Mus musculus: one gene and its partner. The protein of the gene in region 2 purifies or fractionates together with the protein of the main gene of each other region. This does not show direct contact. Links are inferred from orthologs where the notes say so. Each region holds a gene or a part of one and is shown on either strand. Other genes may lie near its edges. The genes, in order: Hjv and Tmprss6.

Region 1 (7,142 bases), on a different chromosome or scaffold from region 2:
TGGCATTTTAAAAATAAGCTAATGTGTGTGTCTTTCATTTGAGGACCCAAAGATAGTTCCTGGGTGGATGCAAGCATGCGATCTGGGAGCACAAAGTGGTGAAGCAAAAAAACTTGATATATTTTAAATTTTTTACATGTATGTGTGTTTGTTCAGCATGAATTTATGTGCAGTATGTGCACACAAATGCCAGAGGAGGCCTGAAGGTATCAGGTTCCCTGGAACTATAATTGCAAGCCATTGTTAGTATTGTGGGCGCTGGGAACAGAACCTGAATCCTCTGTCAGAAATCCAAAAGCCATAGAATCCAGTGAAGAATTACACACTCCTCCACCCACTTCAACCCCAGCGCTTGAGGAGTAGAGACAGTTGGACAGCAATGCAAGGCCAGCCTGGACTACATGAGGCTCCCCCGAAAATAAAAAACAAATGTAATAATACTCATGACTCCTTCCTATGAACCAGTTTTTTTTCTCTCCAACAACCTGTAGACTCCAAGAGGGAGGAGACAATAGCTGGTAACTGCAAGGCCTCTTTCAGTGGGGTGAACACACAGCCTCAACTCCATGCCACATCTGCAAAGGGATTTAAAAGAGGCAACAGAGGACAGGATGGAGAACTAATCGCTTTAATAACAGATTAGGAAGGGATGGAAATGCCCGTTTCTGAGTTGGTGCCAGTCTCCAAAAGCTGACTTCCTCTGCCAGACAATGCCCACTTCGTTTCTGAACCAAAAGCTTTTCCTAATTAGCTTCTCCTCTTTTGACTTTCTCAAAGAGAATCATGTTTTTGCCTTTACGATATCTCAGTCCTTTAATGTTTCACTGGTCATTAGCACTCTCACAATCTCTAGGCTTGTAGGAGTGGTATCAGGTGTATGGAGAGTGGAATTTCATTACAAGTGGGAAATCACTAACTGGGAAATCCATGGTGAATAGCCCACACCAAGGTCTGGAGTGCAAAACCCTGGCCCAGAATCTTTATTCTAGGGTCATTTCAGCCCTGGACTGCAACCTCATCTGATTGAGTAAGTGTTGTCTCCTGTCCCCGCTGTTTCCTTTGGCACATCTTTGTGGTTTCTCACACCAACCTCTATCCTCAAATCGTTTCCAAACCAGTCATGGGTTGCTGGCCTACTTACTGAAGCAAAGCCACAGAACAAAGAGGGCCGAAAGAAGCGGGACTAGGCAGATGGCAGGAGAGAGGGGAGGCCCCGCATCTGAGGGAAAGAGATGTAAGTTCTCTAAATCCGTCAAGAAGATTCGGGCATCGTCCAGAGCTGTCTGAGCTGCCACAGTAAAGTTGGGGTCACCGGAGACTGAAACATCAAAGACGCAGGATTGGAAGTAGGCATCTTCAACCGGAAGCCCTTCCTTACACAGCCTTCTGGCAGTATCTATGGCTATAGCCCCACGGCGGTTGCGCTCTGAGCGAGAGAGTCGCTGGCTCGGAGGGCATCCCCCAACACACAGCTGTAGGTCCTGCTCTGCGGAGAAGGCCCGCGCCACATCCTCTGCTACCCTGATGGAGAAGGAGAGCTGCCCAGCTGTCTGTCGAATGATGATAGTTGTTCCAATGTAGGCAGCTCGAATCTCCACGTGACTCCCAAGGTTAGCAGTTTGAATGGACAAACTCGAGCCCCCAGGTCGGTCGCCCCCATTGATAGAACCATCTTCAAAGGCTGCAGGAAGATTGTCCACCTCAGCCTGGTAGACTTTCTGGTCAATGCATTCCTGCATGTTTTTAAATATGATAGTGATCTATGAGGACAAGAGAGAAAATACTTCATTAGGGCCCAAAGCATCCTCACGCCAATCAAGCTGCATAGAGAGTCAGGGATCCGATCCCAGCAGAAATGCGAGTTTCTTCCGGGTCCTCAGTCCTTGATCCTATCCCCTACTGTGTTCCATTAATAGTGCCTGACCCCCACTCAACCTCCTAATATCTCTCTCCCTATGCCTCTCTCTATCTGCCTCTCTCCCTCTCCCTCCCTCTCTCTCTCTCCTTTTTGTCTCAGTCTCAGCAACTCCCAAGTTACTTGCTTTGAAAGAAATTCCTGAATTACATTTACAAGAGCAAATGTTTGATGGAAGGAAGCCATTCAGGATGGAAGGGAATGTTTGGGAAAGACAAGAACAGGGAGCTGGGTGGCTGAATAGTGGGAAGAAGAAGGAGTGGTATGGCGGACAGACCGTGAGAGGGCTCAAGAAATTGTGTTGGGATGAAAATCGAATCTCTGACCTTCCGGATGGTGGTAGCGTTGGCTCCCGACGAAACCGGGGAGCTGGTGGCCTGGACAAAGAGGAAGTCGTTATCTAGCAAGGGCCAAGCTCCTTGGACACGGCATGTGTGAAATTGGTTGTGGAAACTGCGCACATGGGGATCTCCAAAGGATGCGCAATGCAAGAAGCCCGGGGCTCGACCGTGCAGCCTGGAAAACCGGGCCTCATAGTCACAGGGATCTGGGGTCAGGGGCGCTGGCCCGGCCCCGGGCAGGGCGGGGCCCCGGGCCGGGGGCGGGGCCGTGGGACCCTGGCGTGAGCAGTTGTGCTGGATCATCAGGTCCTCTATGCCATGCACCGCAGAGTGGAAAGCAAGGTCCCCGCGGCAGGTGCGGGCCGTGCGCCGCGTGCAGAGAGCGTAGGAGCGCAGGGCGCGACACAAGCCACCTGAGGCCAGCCCACCACGGCCGCCTCCACGCGGCGTGTCCGGTGAGCCACCTCCCCGAAGACTCAGAGTGGACGAGACATACTCGGCATTGCAGCGGAGGATCTTGCACTGGGAGTGAGCTGGGGACGGAAGGGAGAGGGCAGTGAAATGAGACACAGGTTCTATCCAAGTCCAGTATGCACCTAACTGCCAAAAACCATCCGCCATCCCACCGTTCCTACCACTCAGCGTGGCCGCTTTCCCAATCTCAACCTTCATTCTCCCAATCCTTGCCTCCTTCCCTCCTTTCCTCTACTAAAAACGTGTAAAGCAGTCAGACTTCTTTTCCCTGGGGTCTAAGGACGCCATCTGTGTCCTTCTTCAAGTTAAATGGGAAACAAGACAGGCCTCTTTCAGAGTTGGGAGGTGCTGGGACTCAGCACACATCCCTCCTCACTCTCCCCCCACCCCCCACACCCCCACACCCCCACCCACCCCCACCCCCGCGCGCTCATTCCTACCCAGCATCCTAACCTCTGGATATGTCCAACCCTTCCCTGGCCCTTCCTTACCCTGTCCACAGAGGAGCAGCAGGAGAGTGAGGGTGCTTAGAGTTGGAGGGCTGCCGTGGGGGGACCGGGGACTAGGGGACTGGCCCATACCTATCCAGCCAGGTCCCCCCAGGCACCGGTTCTTCCCAGATGATGAGCCTCCTACCTAGTGAATTTCTCTGGGTACTTCTGTGACTGGAAGAAGAAATTTGGCTGAGTGTGGGGAAAGAGAAGGGTTGGAGACCAGTCAAGATGGTGGGTAGAGAGAGCATCTGAAGAGACCAAAACAAAAATGAGACAGACTGGATCTTGGGAAGAAGGAGGCTTCCAGAGGGTGAGCGTGGCTGGTGAGCCTCTGTGCCCTGCCCCTGCGGCCACCTTCAGGTCCCTTGTGCAATATGCCTACGGGGGCGGGGTGGTGGTGGAGGGAAGGTTGAGTGACCTCAGTGTGCAGAGTCCAGTGTACTGCCCCATCCTGACTACCAAATAGCAGATGTGCCAAAAATGGAGGACCCCTAGAGAAAGTGAGGTTCTGACCATGTCAGTGGGTCCCCAGTAGCACCAGGATCTGATCACGCTTTAAGAACATACTTCTTATGGATCCTTCCCACCAGAAACCACCTGCCGTTTCATTTTCTTCACTGTGTTAGAAGGGCACAAAGGGTAACATGGTAGGCAGACGCCCTGTCTACGATATCACCTTCCCAGTGAAAGGAGAGCCGGTCTCTCAGCCTCTCCAGAGGGCTGACAGTACGATCCCTCTCACAGGATGGGGTACAAATCAAGCATTCAAATTAATATATGTTTCTGTCTAACAGTTCATGTGTTTTTCCAGACCCAGCTGAAAAGCCCAATCCAGACACTCCTGGTCTTTTGAGGAGAACAGATATGGGGGAGGGTCTGTCTCCTTTTCTCCTGTCAAAACCCTACTTTGGGATAAGCATATGAGCAGGAGGTCAGAGAGGTCTTGAGGTAGGGATGGGAGTGTAACTCGATGGTAGCTGAGTGTTTACCATGCTCAAGGCCCTGGGCCCAGTCCTTAGCACTGCCCCCTCCCCCTCTCCCAAGGTCTTGGTGTAATAAGATGGAGAGGAAAATAGGAAAGCCAGAGAGAGGCAGCATTAAACATCAAATGGCCATGGATTAGAAAACATCTAGGCAAGAGGAAAAGTGAAGACTGGGGTAGTTGCTAAGGGGAGATCTTAGTTTTCAGAACAGATGTCTGTAACTTTATGAAGTTCTGGCCTTGACCCAAAAGCTTATCAAAGTGATCGACATTTCATCTGGACTTACTGTTTCCCGAGGTCAAGCATTACTCTGATACTGGGTTCTCGAGCCATAGTTGCCTATTCTGTTGGTCTGCTCCAGCCAGGGGGTCCCCCATCTCTTTCTCCATGATTGCCCCGGAATGGCTGCAGTCTCACTCAGGTCAGAGAGCCAGAGGAGGTTTGGTGTGGGGGGAGGGGGGAGGGAGAGTATATGGTTGGCCCAAGTACTGGACAGCTGAGAGGAGGAGGGAGGTGCCTACTGAGTTGACAGTTTTAAAAATAGCTAGGTCCAAAATTCCAGGAACGTTGGTGGCAGTGGGGTGTGGGAGCTAAGGCAGCAGGAACGATGAGCAAAATAAGGATGGAATATGGAAATATTGGATACCAAGGGAGGGAGAGTATAAAGAAAGATGATGGCCAAGTCATATATCCAACTGTAGCTTATAAGCTGCCACTCAGGCCCTCCAGCATTCCCAGTAATGAACTCAGTATTCCCAGTAATGCCTTTAAGACTGCTGGTGGTGATTTTGTGTGATGCCAGTCACTCACTGCTCTCATCCTCTCTTTACTGAGGATTCCATTGAATTTCTTCTACACATAATACACTGAGGTGGCCGGCTTTGAAGATGGACGGCAAGCATAGTTCAGAGACCCTCCCCCATCTCTGCCAACTATTTCAGAAGCTGAAAGGTCCAGCTGTCCCGAGAAATCCGAGAGCAGAATTGTTTCGAGAAGGGTTTATTCCGTCTGCCCAGATCAGATCTCTGCAGCTGTCTACTCTCTCTCCACCTTTTCCATTACACTAGTTTGTGCAACAATCCCTCCTCCCTCCTCCTCATCAATACAAACACAAAAAACAGAAGCTTCCAGGTTGCAGGGGCCGGGGCCGGGGTAGTAACAGAGGCAGAGAGAAGAATCGGAGTCAGTTTTGAACACTACTGATCCACAGAGGAGTGGCGTTAGATAGGTGAATTCAGAAGGAAGACATTTGGGAATATACTTTTATAGACAAACTGTTTGAAGATTCAATTATAATCAGGGTTTTAGCTATGTCCGTCTTTTCACCTGGTGGCATTTCTGGGACACTGTCCCACAGTACTTGCCAAGGGAAAGCAGCACAGGACTGATTACAAAGTGTGTCACAAAAGCTTCTGGCCCTGTCAGCTCTACATGAAGTTCTACAGGTCCACATGGTACATGGTCCCTTCTCAGGCACGCATACACACACACACACACACACACACACACACTTTACAAGAGAAGTGTGGGAGCACATGTATTTTTTATAATGAATTTAGCTTTTTCTCAACTATACAAGACCATATCACAATAATCTTTTACATTAAGTTATTTAGAACATGTCTGTCTCTGTGTGTCTGTGTGTACCTATGTGGATGTCAGAAACGTTATAGGAGTCAATTCTTTCCTCCCACCATGTGGGCGTTAGGGGCCAAATGTGAGGTTTGGTAGCTAGTTCCTCTACCTACCTGCTGAGCCATTTCACCAGCCCACATCCCAAGAACTTTTATTCCATAAAATTTCCCTGCACTGGATGGTTGGGTGTGTCAACTTGACACAGGCTGGAGTTATCACAGAGAAAGGAGCCTCCCTTGAGGAAGTGCCTCCATGAGATCCAGCTGTAAGCATTTTCTCAATTAGTGATCAAGTGGGGCGAGCCCTGCCCATTGTGGGTGGGACCATCTCTGGGCTGGTAGTCTTAGTTCTATAAGAGAGCAAGCTGGGCAAGCCAGGGGAAGCAAGCCAGTAAGTAACATCCCTCCATGGCCTCTGCATCAGCTCCTGCTTCCTGACCTGCTTGAGTTCCAGTCCTGACTTCCTTTGGTGATGAACAGCAATGTGGAAGTGTAAGCTGAATAAACCCTTTCCTCCCCAATTTGCTTCTTGGTCATGATGTTTTGTGTAGGAATACACACCCTGACTAAGACATCCCCCAACTAAATTAATCAAGTGACTTTAAGACATACTAGGTTGTCTATAAAATGCAAAGTGGCATATACTCTGAAACCCAAAATACGTGCAAAAAAAAAACAGTTTCTTGAGGCTGGAAGGATGGTTTAGTGGTTGAAGCACTTGCTGCTCCTACAGGGAATTCAGGTTCCACTTCTATCACCCACATGATAGCTCATTACTAACTGTAATTCCAGTTTAGGAGCTCCAATACCCTCAGTTGACCTCTAATGGCTTCTGCACACAGTTAGTGCACAGACATACATACATTCAGGCCACATACACATACATGTGGTGCACATACACACATACACTCAGGCATACACATATGCACATAAAATTTAAAAAATAAAAATATTTTTAAGGAATCAGTTGTTTTGAAACAGAGTGTTGTTATATGTGTGGTCCCAGCTGGCTTAGAACCTTTTATGTTGGCCAGATGATTTAGATAATTACCCTGAAGGTGCTGGGTTATAGGCAGGGGCCACTGTGCCCAACTAGTACCAAAGTATTTTACAGTCCTCACTATCATTGACAGTGGCGTTGGTATTATTCTGGAACTATTTTGAGTTTGCTGTGGGCTTAAAAAGAAATTAAGGAAGGCTGGAGAGATGGAGCCACAGTTGAGAGCACCTGCTGGTTTTACAAGGGACCTGAGTTTGGTTCCCCGAATCCACGTCAGGGGCTCCAGGAGAGTCAATGCTCT
Region 2 (6,616 bases):
GCAGGACTCTTAGTCCTGTTTGCCGTTAGCACTAGGCAGGAGGGCACACATCTCTGCTTTATTACTTTTCAAAAACAAAAATTATCAAAATGGCTCGCATTAGGTATGGGCTTAAAGCAAGATTCACAAAACAGAGACATCTCCGAGAAGCCAGGTAGCAGAGACAAGTCTCTCCCTTCCCCAGGCAGATTCCTAGGCAGCCTCTGTGCCCAGGAGGCATGTATCACACTAGAGTCTGGCTGGCCAGGGCAGGAGAGGGAGCAGGACCCTACCTGGCCCTCGTCATCACACAGAGTGGATAGGGCAAGGGTTATGTTTATGTATGCCAGAACTCAGGGTGGCTAAGCTACTGGCCAGAGTCACACAGCTGACGCATGCCGGTGCCAGGATGGTACAAACAGCCTTCCCTCCCCCAACCCCACCCGTCTCAGGTTCCCTGAGCCTGCTGGCAGAGCTCCTGGTCTCCCTGCTTCAGGAAGCCGAAGGCCCGGCTTAATGGGTTCTCAGCTTTGCTATCTCTGGCATCCAAGCTTGTGGATTAAACGAGCTTTAAGTAAATTAAATTTTATAAGTGCACTTAATTTATTATGCTTAATCAGGAGACTAAATGTATTAAATTAAGTTGAGTTTAATGGAAGGATATCCTGGGGTGTGGAGTCTGGTGAGACACAAAACAAGTTGTGAAATGAGGGTAGCTATTGACTGGGGCTGAGCCTTAGCTCCAGGGGACAGCTGTGGAGTGACAACTCAGCTGGGGGTCAGGGGGAGTCACAAGAAGACTCATTGCTTTTATTCAATGCTTATGGCTTTTATTCAGCATTTCTGGCTCCATGCTATGTGTCCCAGCATGGACTGTCCCCAGGCTGTGGCAGCCCCATGAGTGTGGGCCGCTGTCCTCAGTATACAGGTGGGAAAGCCAGCCTCCCAGGGTAGAAATTCCAGAGAACTGCTAAGGGCAGGGAACAGGATGGTGGGTGCAAGACCCAGGCCTCACAGCATCCCTGAGTGTTTGGCACTGGGTGGATGGGGCAGCCCACTGCTGGTCTTACAGCCTGCACAGTGTCACTCCAGGGGGACCCACGCCAGACTGTATAGCCTTGCCCTGCTTCACCTTCTTTGGCTCCTTGTGGCCACAGGACAGAGCAGTGCTGGTCCTGATGTGATCTGGTCTGCCACCTTCTCCCTCCCTATCTTGTCCTCCTGCAATGCCTGCTCTGTGTTAAGACTCTGCAAAGCTCCCCCCAGGCCTCTCTGCTTCTTGCCATCTATACACCTTGGGCTCGGTCCAAGGTCTTCATCTTCTGTGCTATCTTTGCCGGGCACTCTTCCTGGCCCACAAGGCTCTGTGCGTTTGTTAAACGATTGAATGAGTGTGTGAGTCAGAGGCTGGGCAGGGAAGCTACAGAGGGAAGAAAGGTGGGTACCCAAGCCTGGCCTAGCCCCTCTCCTCCCTGCCTGCTACCATGGCTGGAGAAGGCTTTGTGGCCATTCCCAGTCTCTCTTTCTGGCTAAGGGCTCTGTCCTTTTCTACCTCCAGGCTGTTATCGCTACAGCTATGTGAACCCAGGCCAGGTCCTCCCATTGAAGGGGCCTGACCAGCAGACCACAAGCTGCCTGTGGCATCTGCAAGGGCCCGAAGACCTCATGATCAAAGTGCGGCTGGAGTGGACCCGGGTCGATTGCAGAGACAGGGTGGCGATGTACGACGCAGCTGGGCCCCTGGAGAAGAGACTTATCACCTCGTGAGTCCCTCCCTGAAGGGCTGAGGGAGTCCCAGGGTCAAAGGCCACACTTTGCATTGGAGCCTCAGCCTCAGGCCCATATGGATGCTGTGGAGAGCAGTGGGAAGGGAGGCTACAAGGTTGTGTGCCAAGCAGTGGTCTCCAATTTCTTCTCAGAGCCTCAGTTTTCCCATCTGGATGTAACTAACCAGTTGTAGGGTGATCTCTAAGGTCAACTCTGGGAAGGCACATGGCTTGTTAGAACATTCTAGAATCTGGCAGCAGTCTGGTATTTCAACCAGCACTCTTGCTGCATCCTAACTGTGTCCCTTAAAACACAGTGCTTGCCCCTTTGAGCCTCAGTTTTTCTCATCTGTAAAATGGGTGTATACTCTTGCGCACCATTTTCTGATATAGACAATATTGAAGATATGCAGCCATTGTGTCCCTCATTCTGTACTGGGTAGCTGGGGACCTCTAGGGCCCCAACCATCTCCTCCAAGATGGACACGGGGGTGCTGAACCTGGAAGACCCTGCAGGAAATGGGGCTGGCAGTGCTGAGTTGTGCCATTGTTTGATGCCAGGGGACAAGGTGGTGTCATTTCTGTGTCTCTTGGATCATACCATCTTGTACACTTCTCTGCTCCATCAGGGTCTATGGGTGCAGCCGCCAGGAACCTGTGATGGAGGTGCTGGCATCGGGCTCCGTCATGGCCGTGGTGTGGAAAAAGGGCATGCATAGCTACTATGACCCTTTCCTGCTCTCAGTGAAGTCTGTGGCCTTCCAGGGTGAGAGTCTCCAAGGATGGAGGGGGGCACAGACAGGAACCCTGGTCTCTGGTGGCATGTCCTATGCCTTCTCTGTCCTATCAGCGATAGAGTGGCTCTGGAAGCCTTCAGTGAGCCGCAGTCCCTCCCCTCCCTTCCTACCTCTCTCTCCCTTTGTCCTTCACTCTCCTCCCAGGGCCCTGGCAGCCTCCAGCAAAGGTATCTGTCCTGGCAGACCCCAAGAGGTCTTGGCTCATCCCCAGCCTCAGTCAATTCTTCCTGCCTCTCACTTCCCATCCTACCCCTCCCTGCCCCCAATCTGTCCTCTGGGTTAGCAGAATTAACTTGAGGACCCTGCCTGAGCTATAGCTGGACTTCTCGTTAGAGCCGCTTGCCGTTTCTAGCTGCCATTCCTCTGAAGGTGTCTGATGGTTCTTCTTATTCTCCTGGGTCATCCCTGGGCTCTCCCACAGGCCTCCAGCTGGCCCTGCAGATGTGACAACTGGTGTTCACTTGGGTTCTCAGGCACCATAGTCTCATAGGAAAAACCAAGGAAGGGTTTGGGGCTCTGGACCCCCAGGGACAGGTGACCTGAGAACCCAAAGTCACACTGCTCTGCTGCTTCCACCCCTGAGCCTCTTACTGAGTGACTTGGCCAAGCCTCCCTCCTCTCCTGGAACTCTTATTAGTGTGTGTGCATATGTGTTATGTATGTATACATGTGTGTGTCGTGTGTATGGGGTGCACATGTGTGTGTGTTTTACATGTTGTGTGGTGTGTGTGGTATGGGTGGTATGTGTGTGTGGTGTGTGTATGGCATGGTGTGTGTATGTGCATGTGTGTGTACATATGTGTGTTTCTCTATGTGCATGTGTGTACATACATGTGCATATGTATGTGTGCATTGCTGGGATGGACCTCGGGGCCTTCACACATGTTAAGCAAATGCTCTAGTGTGGAGTCACACCCTCAGCTCCTCCCTCTTTGCAAAGGCAGCAGCTCTCCCTCTCCAGCTGCCCTGAGAGCATATTTTGCATACTGTTAAGTTTAGTGTGCTTGCCACTCAGCAGATGGAACGTGCTGTGTCCATCACATCTACTCGCTGCTGAGCTTTGTACTCTTCTCTCCATTTTGTGGATGTGGAAACTGAGGCACACTTACATAGCCATGTTGGGCCCTGAGCTTTGCTGTTAGTGGGGTGCAGTGAGACACTGGGGGGGGGCAGGAAGGGGCCCATCCTAATGGCTGTTCTTGGACTCAGACTGCCAGGTGAACCTGACACTGGAGGGCCGGCTGGACACACAGGGCTTCCTCCGTACACCCTACTACCCCAGTTACTACTCTCCCAGTACCCACTGCTCCTGGCATCTCACGGTGAGTTCCTCTCCTCCTGCAGCCTGCCCTGTGCCCAGAGCAATCCTTAGGGCTTCAGGGACAGGAGGAGTGACATCCCACCTGGCCCAAGTACTCACAGGCTAAGTACAAGGTGGAAGGGTGGGGCTAGTTTATCGGAACAGGCACATGCCCAAGCTCGCCCACACCCGCTATGCCGCACACGATTGCCTGCCCTCCTTTCCCAGGTACCCTCTCTGGACTACGGCTTGGCGCTCTGGTTCGATGCCTACGCACTGAGGAGGCAGAAGTACAACCGACTGTGTACTCAGGGCCAGTGGATGATCCAGAACAGGAGGTAGCCTTCCCCTCCCCATCACTCGGACCTCATGCTCCTACCCATGCTGGGCCTGGGGGGTAGCAGAGGGTGGTGAGCGGAGGCTGAAGACAGCAAAGTCTCTCCTGACTATCCATCCTGTCCTGACTGTCCCTCCTGTCCTGACCAGCCTTTCCCCAGATACCCAGCAGGCTCCAGCACGCATTTCACCATCCTGTCCGTCCCAGTCAGGGTAAATGGTGGAGCTGCCTTGACTTCTGTAACCACATGGCTCTACCAACGATGGGGACAGGGCACAGGGCACTTGAGAGCACATGGCCTTTCTTCCACTCCCCTACAGTCCGAGGACGCCATTGTCTTTGCTGCCGTTGACTTCCATGGGGACAGTAGCTCTCAGGGTTACCCTGTGTATTTGTGTTCCCTGCAGTGTCCTGCCTGTTCGCTTGGCCTCCTGGCAAGGAGGTGTCTAGCTAAGAACGTCCTCTTGGGAGCTTGCAGGGGGCAGAGGGAGCTGTGAAGTGACGTGTGTGTGTGTGTGTGTGTGTGTTGGGGGCTAGCCAGAAGGATGAAGATGGACAGTCCTCTTGGGCCAGCAACTGAGGATACCGCTAAGCCCCATTTGCCCATTAGTTGATCTTATTCTAGATAGAGGGTGGCAAGGAGTGACAAAGCTGGATTTTTCCAATATGTTGGGGACAGTGACAAAAAGGAGGTAAACTGTCCGAGATGTGATGTGAGTCCGTGCTGTCGTAGCAACAGGCTACTGTGTGACATAAGCCTGATATGCCTAGGGGTCAGAAGGTCTGCATGGGGAAGGGCGCTGTCTTGTGTGCCCTTCTTCATGTGGCTCCCTCAGCCACCAGCCCACTCCGGGAGCTGCTTACTGGCTTCTGGTTTCGGCACCAGAGCCCATGACTGGAGTTTTCTGAATGAAGGTGCTGTGTTTTCAGCCATGACCCCTCCCTGAGTGTTGTCACTATCTCTGAGAGGCCAGAGGGAGAGGGAATAGCCTTGGGCCTAGCACTCTCTTGCAGCCTGTGCCTAAGGCCCATTAGTCTAGGTTGATCCTGTGCCAAGTGTTGTGGGGCCCCAGAGCTCAGTTTCTGCACAACAGAAACACTAGCTTCACCGGGGTAACTCAGATGGGTCACAGTAAGGCTCCTCCCAGTGGTTGTCAGTCACAGGCAGTTAGACTGGGGCTCAAAGCCTGGCTCCCCTGGTTCCTTCTTGGGCAAGACTTACCTCTCCCAGCCTCTGGAACTTATCTGAGTGTGCTGAGACTGGGATGGACTCTGAGGACGAAGTGCTCACCTAACATAGCATGATTTCTGGGCTCCACCTGGTAGCCCCCAATAAGAAAGAAAGAAAGAAAGAAAGAAAGAAAGAAAGAAAGAAAGAAAGAAAGAAAGAAAGAAAGAAAGAAAGAAAGGAAGGAAGCCATGGACATGCAAGATGGCTGAGTGGGTTAAGAGGCTTGCCGGCAAGTTTGAGGACCTGAGTTCAGTCCCTGGAACCAACATGGTGGAAGGAGGGGACTGACTCCCAGAAGTCATTGCTTCCCCTCCACAGACCTGCTGTCCCAAACAAGAGTGTGTTCTATTACACAGAAACAAACAAAGCAAAGGGCCTGGAACGAGACGCCTTCCACTGGAGACTAAATAAGATGGTGGGTGGAGACGGTACCAACCACAATCGCTAAATGGCTCTTACTCGGTGCCACACAGGTGTGGAAAGCGATTATGTGCTCCCCACAGTCGAGCAAGGGAGGCGGACTCAGATCCTGTCCTTAACCTGCTTTCTGCGGCTGTAACAAAATTGCCAAGGCAGGGAAGTTTATAAAGAATAGAGGTTTGTGCAGCTCCTGGTGGCGAAGGCTGGAAGTCTAAGAAAGCAGCATAAGACTCTGGCTTTCTGCTGAGTCATAGTGGGACAGAGGGTGTCAGGAGATGAGGCAGGGCCGAAGGGGCTTGCCTGATGGTGCAGGGTAGGGGTGGGGGCTTGAGGCCACCCACCAGTGCTTCCTTTATCTGCTAGATGAATGCATTCACCAGGTACAGCCCCTTCCTGACCCAATCACTTCCCTGAATGCCCTTCCTCCAAACGCCACTAGCCTAAGACATTGGAGAATCCAAGTGTGAATTTTGGTTTCAAGTATGAATTCCAGGGACTCACAGTTGAACGAGCCTCACAGCTTGTGGGAAGCCTGAGGCCCAGAGGCTGAGTCATTTGCTAAAAGTCCCTGTGGCTTGTGACGTCATCACTGAGCTCAGGCAGCTGGCCGGCCCCCAGGGCATGATTGCCCAGCCGTGTGTGTGTGTGTGTGTGTGTGTGTGTGTGTGTGTGTGTGTGTGTGTGTGTGTGTGTGTGAGAGAGAGAGAGAGAGAGAGAGAGAGAGAGAGAGGAAAAGAGCACTCAGTTGTACACTTAATTGTATGGTGTCTCCTCAGGAAGGCTCTC

The links.
Region 1: the proteins of Tmprss6 (region 2) and Hjv purify together in Homo sapiens (co-immunoprecipitation; 3 studies listed by IntAct). This does not show direct contact. The link is inferred for Mus musculus from reciprocal best matches to the Homo sapiens genes TMPRSS6 and HJV.

The regions. Positions count from the first base shown.
Region 1 is NC_000069.6:96,522,682-96,529,823, reverse strand, and holds Hjv (hemojuvelin precursor), read right to left. Parts: upstream 4,640-7,142; 5' UTR 4,494-4,639; intron 3,414-4,493; exon of another isoform or gene 3,396-3,413; 5' UTR 3,310-3,395; coding exon 3,222-3,309; intron 2,790-3,221; coding exon 2,242-2,789; intron 1,761-2,241; coding exon 1,134-1,760; 3' UTR 608-1,133; downstream 1-607. UniProt on the Homo sapiens protein: Acts as a bone morphogenetic protein (BMP) coreceptor. Through enhancement of BMP signaling regulates hepcidin (HAMP) expression and regulates iron homeostasis.
Region 2 is NC_000081.6:78,450,040-78,456,655, reverse strand, and holds part of Tmprss6 (transmembrane protease serine 6), read left to right. Parts: intron 1-1,537; coding exon 1,538-1,742; intron 1,743-2,374; coding exon 2,375-2,511; intron 2,512-3,751; coding exon 3,752-3,864; intron 3,865-4,070; coding exon 4,071-4,180; intron 4,181-6,616. UniProt on the Homo sapiens protein: Membrane-bound serine protease. Through the cleavage of cell surface hemojuvelin (HJV), a regulator of the expression of the iron absorption-regulating hormone hepicidin/HAMP, plays a role in iron homeostasis.